2 linked regions of the Rattus norvegicus genome follow. The protein of the gene in region 2 purifies or fractionates together with the protein of the main gene of each other region. This does not show direct contact. Links are inferred from orthologs where the notes say so. Each region holds a gene or a part of one and is shown on either strand. Other genes may lie near its edges. The genes, in order: Dyrk1a and Fntb.

Region 1 (3,685 bases), on a different chromosome or scaffold from region 2:
TCTGTCCAAAGTCCAAGGTGTTAGCAGCCACTGGGCGGTTCTGATAGGCCTGATTGCCTTGATTACCAGTAGAGGAGGAAGATGTCGAGGAAGAAGTTGTTGAGGAAGACAGGGATGTCATGGAGTGGTGACTGTGGCCAACCTCCATAGAATCCTGGGTAGAGGAGCTATTTGTTGGAGAATTGTAGACCCTTGGCCTGGTCCGGTTACCCAAGGCTTGCTGTCCATGGTGGTGGTGGTGGTGATGGTGGTGGTGGTGATGATGGGAACTGTTTCCATGGTGATGATGCAATGCATTCTGCTGAGGGGCTACATGAAAGGTTGTTTCTTGAACAGGATGAGTTTCAACAGTGACTTGTGTAGGAGCTTCAGTGCCTGACCAGCCCAGAGGAGCCGGAAACTGCTGGCGCACCTGTAGGGGTAGCATTGTGACAGGGTTATCAACTGCTGGCACACCTGAGGGAGCAGCACTGTGACAGGGTTATCAGCACGCCTGAGCACAAACACTCACTCACTCACTCACTCACTCCTGGGCAGCCCCATGTCCGTCCCTGCCCTTTCCAACCCACTGAGAGGAGCATAATATCCTTCCAAGTCAGCTTGTTCCCTGTCCAAAATCCCTTCAGCGCATCCTAGTGTGCATAAAGTCATCCTAAATCCTGACACCATCTTTCAATCTTCCACTGCTGTTTCTCCAATATTTCTTTACTTACGTGAGTTCCAATCAGCCCAGGTCTTCTTCCCACCCCTTGACCTGAACATATGCTTTCAGGCTTCTGAACTCACTGTTTCCTCCTGGAGAGAATGCTTTCTTTTCTAATCTTCGCTTGGGTTCCGGCTGCCGTCCTAAGTGCATGTGGCAAAGGCTGCTGCCGTGCCACCCTCGCTGCCTTTCCATATCCCCACTCCATAGTCACTGCACTACACTGCAGATGACTGCACCACACGCTCCAGCCTTCCTTGCACTCCCTTAGCCACCAGCAGGACTACGGACTGAGTCTGTCTAGGTCTCATTAAGTCTGTCTGCTGGGTACCATGCCATGGGCAACTAACTGGGCCTAGGGGGTGTAGAGTCACAACCTGGTAAGAGACCAGTCATAAATGACACACAAATGACAAATCAACACTTACTTGACTACTGTACTCACAGAGAGGAAACTCCCCACATTCTCTCAGATGCCCACCTCGGAGACTGTGTGTTTAGTTTACTTCACTCAATATGCCTCAGTCTAACAAACATCCTCTCAGTCACATGACTCTGGACTGCTGCGGTGACGGTGCTGGGGTCTAGCACAGAACTTTACCAACCCCAAGCAGGCAATACCTACCTCAGAGGAATACGTCAAGTCTTTCTTTGGTATAGAATCATCACTTGTTGTTTTTATCTGTGTTTTAGTGTGTTTACTATGTCACTGTGAGCTCTGAAAAGGCAAAGGCTATCTCTACCACCAGTCTCTAGCATAAATTGTTAAAAGTAAATATTTGATAAAAATTGTACAGAAATGAAACTCCTGAAAATCCAGTAGGGAAAACAAAACTGGCAACAATCTCATAAAAAAAAAAATTAAAGGCTGACCATTCTTAATCTACTATGAAATGCTTTAAAAATATAGCAATTACAATTTCAGATTGGAGATACTCAACTGGTAAACCGTGAACAACTGCACCAAAATCTATCGAAACACGCACGGCTCCAATCCATGCTGTCTCAGCTGAGAAATACTTGCTACTGTGACCACACACCACACAAGAGAAGGGTTCTGCTAAGGGGCAGGGCCGACCCCTGCAGCATACCTATGCTCCTAGGCAGAGAGAAGAGACCCATGTGTAGAATACAGAGACTAACTGCACCCGACTGAGCGCTCTCTGACTGACCTGAGTGGACAGCACGCTGCTTCTGAGTTGAACCCGTCAGCACATGGTTAGTTATAACATCTTAAATTACGACAGCCACTGATACACTCACAGTGGCTGCACAGAAAGTTATCTGACGCCACCTTTTTTTTTTTTTTTTTTTTTTTTTGGAGCTGGGGACTGAACCCAGGGACTTGCATTTGCTAGGCAAGCGCTCTACCACTGAGCTAAATCCCCAACCCCCAGAAAGTTATCTGACAATGAGGATGCCTCCTTCCCAAGTGACTGGTAGGCTGTGTATATGGTACAGACAAAGCTGGACACAGGAAAGAATGGGATGAGATCTCATCCTGTTATTCAGAAGCACACAGTTTTATAAAGATAAAATGGTTCTTCCTTTGTTTGGTATTTTCAGACCATAGTGGATATAGACAATGAAGTCAAGCACAGATAAAGGAACTCCAAAGCACACTTTTCCATTACTTTCTTCCTTTACTCTTTGGGGGGAAGTGTAGAAGTCTGTGCACCTACGTGCTGCTGGAGACTAATGTAGCCAGGGCACCGTGTGCTCCAGGCAAATGCTCTACCACTATACTCCAAGTTGGCAATGACTTTTAATACTCAACTTACTGAGTTGTCAGATCATGCAGAAGACAATCATGACCATAAATAATCCTTGTTACCTCACTCTGACTCAGCAATTTCATTTCCAACTCTTTCTAGGAATTTAGAACACAGACAAAATGTGCATGTGTGACTGGTGTACTTAAAAAGTTTTTATTATGATATCAAAAATAGTGAAACTGACTACAGATAAGAGAAATGCCCATGAATAAGCTATGAGCGAAATCAATCATGAAATATTTGAACAATGTAATACTGCAAAGCAGTATAAAATAAAGTTTTACTGTGATATAGGAAGAATACCAATCTACGCCAAGTGAAGAAGGATCTAGGTATAAAACTGTGCATGTATATGACAGTGTTTATAAAGAGGCTAGTGTGGGGTTGGGGATTTAGCTCAGTGATAGAGCGCTTGCCTAGGAAGCGCAAGGCCCTGGGTTCAGTCCCCAGCTCCGAAAAAAAGAACCAAAAAAAAAAAAAAAAAAAAAAAAAAAGAGGCTAGTGTATATAATATACCTGGTGAAGGTGTTTGTGTATAAATATTTTGTCTGCATATAAAATATTATCTGATTAAATACATTATCTGATAATATATAGCTAGGTTTACTTTTCCATAAAGAACATCTTTTCAAAGACATAAAAGTTACAAATACTAGTTTGTACTACACTAGCTGACATGAAGAAGAGGGCTTCTCATAAACCACCTCTGTGGTTTCTTTCTTCTTACTACATGACTGTATCAATTATTAAAAGACTGGCCAGCCAGATGGCTCAGCAGGTAAAGCCATTTGCAAACAACCCTGACAGTCTGAGAGTTTAACTCAGATTTCCTTCTGCCCCTGGCAGACATGGCGAGACGACTCCCTGAAGTGGTCCTCTGACATCCACAAGCATGCTATGGTTCCCATGCAGCCACATACATCCACACTCAACATAAATAAACAACTAAAAACAATTTAACTCAAAAAGAAAAGACTGTGCTGGGCACAGTGCAGCACGCCTGTAACTCCAGCTTCTTGAAGGCAGGAGGACAATGATCACAAGCAGAAATGCCAGCTGGGCTTGCCCAACAGATCAGTGACCTCTGTAAGGTAGGTGGGAACATATAGCTGTGCTATTCTGGGAATGACTATGTATGTTTACAGTACATAGACCATACACACATGAACGAGAGGAACAAAGGAAGGCCCAAAACACTTTACTAAGT
Region 2 (3,814 bases):
AAGAGTCGTGGTCCTTTTCCTTAGTTACACATGCAGATACACCGTACTGTTTGATAACTGAAACCCACATAGAGGAGTAGGAAGATTGCGAACCAATCCCGAGGCTTGCTGTCGCTGTCTGGCCGGATGCTGGTGGTCTGCCAGCCCCAGCCTCTCCATCACAGCCCTGAGCAATTGTGAGATTTGAGATGCTTTTGTGCACAATGCTTTTTGCTCATGTGTTATAGGTTAAACTTCCCTGGTATGAATATTTAAAATCCAAAGTGCTTTAAAAGCTAACTTTTTTAAGATCATACTAGCACTCAAAAAGTTTTGGAGCCAAGAGTGGTTGTGTACATCTGTAATTGCAGCAGAGGAGGGATACATCCTGCCCCTCCCCAAAAGGACTCTATTCCAGAAAGAATCCAGTCATGTCATTTGCAGGAGAACGGAGCGGTCTCAGGAGGACATGTTTTCTCTCATCTGTGGGTCAAGTTATACACAGACACATAAAACACGCCATGTATCTATGACATGAACCAGAAGTCAAACTGTCTGTGGAGACAAAGGGAATTAACGGGAAGGGGAGGGTTTGAAAAGGGAGGAAGGATGAGTGCGTGTATAGACAAGCTTTAATTTTTAAAACGCTGCGGTGTGACTCCTCCCCTCTCATGTCTCTTTTCTCTTTTGTTTTTGTTTTTGATAGAGTTTCTATCTATCTTCAAAGCTAGCTGTCTGTCCATCCATCCATCCATCCATCCATCATCCATCTATCTATCTATCTATCTATCTATCTATCTATCTATCTATCTATCTATCTATCCATCTATCCATCTATCTATCTATCTGTATGGCTGTCCCGGAACTCTTTCTGTAGACCAGATTGGCCTTGAACTGACAGACCTGCTGGGATTAAAGGTGTGCACCCCCACCGCCCGGCCTGATTTTCTTCCTTACTTTTTATCTTCACTCCATATGAGAGAAAATGTGATCTTTCTGTGTCAGAGGTCCCAGGAAGGGAAACGGAAGGACAATGGAATGTACTGCCAAGGGAGAGGTGGGGGACAGCAGAAGTGGGGGCTGGGGGCAAATAAGAACAAAGCATACTGACTGCACACAAGAGAATGTCACAGCAAAAGGCAGACACGCACTCCTGTAATCCCAGCGTGTGGGAGACGCAGGAAGGTCAGGAGTTCAAGGCTAGCTTACATAGTAAGTCTGAGGCCATCCTGGACTAGATGAGACACAGAAAAACAGAATGGAAGGAAAAAAAATGGAAGGAAAAAAATGCTGGAACAAGCAGTACTTTGTTAATTAAAACATATTTAGTGATAAGAAAGTTACAGTGCTTAAGAAAAAGATTTTGGAGCAAGGAGCTAGCTTAGTGGTGGAGCACATGTCTAACATGTTAGGGTACTAGGTCTGCCACACAGTTTCTGATTTCAGTTTTACATAAGATGACTAACTGGTAAAGTCTGGGTGAATATTCTAAAAACAACAAACTCCAAAATGGCATTTCCTCACGTCATTAAAATATTTGAAAGCACATATTAGAGCTCTCTCTAAAAGATTTATCATGTAAGTCGGTGTTTTGTCTGCCTGTCTGTCTGTATGAGGGAAGTGAACCCAGGTCCTCTGACAGAGCAGTCAGTGCTCTTCAGTGCCGAGTGTCTCCAGCCCTGGAAAGCACACATCTGGGTGGCTGAGTAGTGGTCCCCTGTAATTGTATACTGAGATGTTGACTGTTTTGTCGCACATTTGGGCCTGGAATAACCCTGTGTATGTATCACTCACGCTCCTTAGCCGAAGCTCTGCTGGTGCCTGTCCGCAGCCACAGAGCCACTGGTGACGGACGGCTTTGCCTCTGTTCTCGTTACAGCAGCCCACTCACCCTGTGTACAACATCGGACCTGATAAGGTGATCCAGGCCACCACACACTTTCTGCAGAAGCCGGTCCCAGGCTTTGAGGAATGCGAAGATGCGGTGACCTCAGATCCTGCCACTGACTAGAGGACCCCATGGCTCCCCCAAATCCCCCGTCAGACAAGGTTTCTCCGTTTGGGTACATAGCACAGTCCGTGCTACTTGAGCCTTGGCCACTGTGGAGTTGTGGTTTCTTTGTCCTTTCCTGTCAAACAAAACAAAGCCATCAGCTCTGGGTTGGAATACACAATGGTGTGATTTTAAAAATTATTTTCATACCTGTCAAACCAAAACTCTGGGAGCCGATGTAGTAAGCAGGGTTGGAGAGCAATGCATGCTGGGAAGCAGCAGCCTCCTCCAGCAGCCAGGCCCACAATGCTGAAATGGAAGGTGTCTGTGAGTATCTCCACATCACAGCCACTGCTGTGCCTCCCACCTACACACCATTCAGTCAGCAGATGGGCTCCTCTCTGGTATAAATGTCAGCTCTGTGCAAGGGCGGGGCTGTGGGTCCAGCCAATACATGCTCTCTGGAAAACAGCACTGGGCTCCAGTGGGCATATTCATACTTGTCTCTTTTACCCCAGTCATTTGCGAAGGACAGGGGCCAGGAATGAAGAAGGGTCTTAGATTGAGCCTTCCCCACAACCTGAGGAGAACTGATCTCATATTTCTCCAAGGCCATGTTTGTATGAGCAAGACTTGTTTTGCCCTAAGTATGACGACTAGACCCAGGTAATCAATTATGAGTGGAAAATCAACCTCTAGGTGAACTCTGTGCCAGAGGAAGCAGCCTCCCCAGTGCCCAGCCCCTGCCTCTCCCCATCATGTACCAGGAGAGGCCCTCCTCACGGCAGTGCTGCAGCCCAGGCTCCTTCTAGTCCTTTCTCCCCACCCACCCTCCAAGACAGTGCTCTTTTCTCATCCAGGGTGTTAACACTACTAAGGCTTCACCGTAATCGATCACTCAGGATTTACTCCTGCCCTGCCCACTCCAGGCTCTCTGAAACACAGTCAAGTGCTAGGCAAGCTAGCTGCTGCTGGGACAGTGACCAGCAGGAAGGCAAGTGCTGTCCGTGTGCTGAATTCTGGAACTGCCTCTGCACCGGCTGAGTTTGCTCACCTATCCACTGCTACAGTCATAGCAAGCTCATGCCGCTGTCCCAGCCTGTGCGAGCAGGCAGACGGGAGCTTGGAGATGCAGCATGAGGTTCTTCCCCAAACCACTGGCCATTTGCTGCCTCTGATTCCCCATTGCTTTGGTGTACTGGGCTATGTATTACCTCCTTGAAATAATAAAAGAGTAACATTTTCTATGCTGTCTTTTTTTTTTTTTTCAGAGAAAATTTAAGTGTGTGTGTGTTTGTGTAGGTGTCTGTGGAGACCAGAAAAGGGCATCAAATCCCCTGATCTTAGTATAGGTGTTGTTACTTAGTTCAGCATGGGTGCTGGGAACCAAATTAGTATCTTTTCTAAGAATGCCAAGTGCTCTAGCCATTGAGCCTTCTTTCCAGCCCACCATGCTATCTCCTGTCTATACCAAGAAAATTCCTTCAGGATGCCCTTTTGCTGTGGGCATTTCCTCTCTCCTGCATGTGAATGAAGGGAGTTGAAATTCATTCCTCCTTGTGTATCTCCTTCCCACACTGAAGTCTGATATTTGTGAGTCCCCAGCCCACCGGGGAGGGGACCATGACTACCATCGCACAGGGCTGTGCGGGTGGACATCCTGGCCATGGGTAGGGGCTCATATGGGGGTAGCCGGAATTCTGTGGTTGCTGTAAGTGACTCTCTGACAAGGCCAAGAAGGCAGCATTCTGAGCTTGCTTCTTGAAAGAAGGATACCTCACGGGGAAACTCCATCCATGCAAATAACCCAGCTACATTCTGAATGCAACTCTCATCCCTGGG

The links.
Region 1: the proteins of Fntb (region 2) and Dyrk1a purify together in Homo sapiens (affinity purification with mass spectrometry; 3 studies listed by BioGRID, counting the BioPlex papers as one). This does not show direct contact. The link is inferred for Rattus norvegicus from reciprocal best matches to the Homo sapiens genes FNTB and DYRK1A.

Annotation. Positions count from the first base shown.
Region 1 is NC_086029.1:47,472,524-47,476,208, reverse strand, and holds part of Dyrk1a (dual specificity tyrosine-phosphorylation-regulated kinase 1A), read right to left. Parts: intron 413-3,685; coding exon 1-412. UniProt on the Homo sapiens protein: Dual-specificity kinase which possesses both serine/threonine and tyrosine kinase activities. Exhibits a substrate preference for proline at position P+1 and arginine at position P-3.
Region 2 is NC_086024.1:101,349,500-101,353,313, forward strand, and holds the end of Fntb (protein farnesyltransferase subunit beta), read left to right. Parts: intron 1-1,858; coding exon 1,859-1,990; 3' UTR 1,991-3,217; downstream 3,218-3,814. UniProt on the Homo sapiens protein: Essential subunit of the farnesyltransferase complex. Catalyzes the transfer of a farnesyl moiety from farnesyl diphosphate to a cysteine at the fourth position from the C-terminus of several proteins having the C-terminal sequence Cys-aliphatic-aliphatic-X.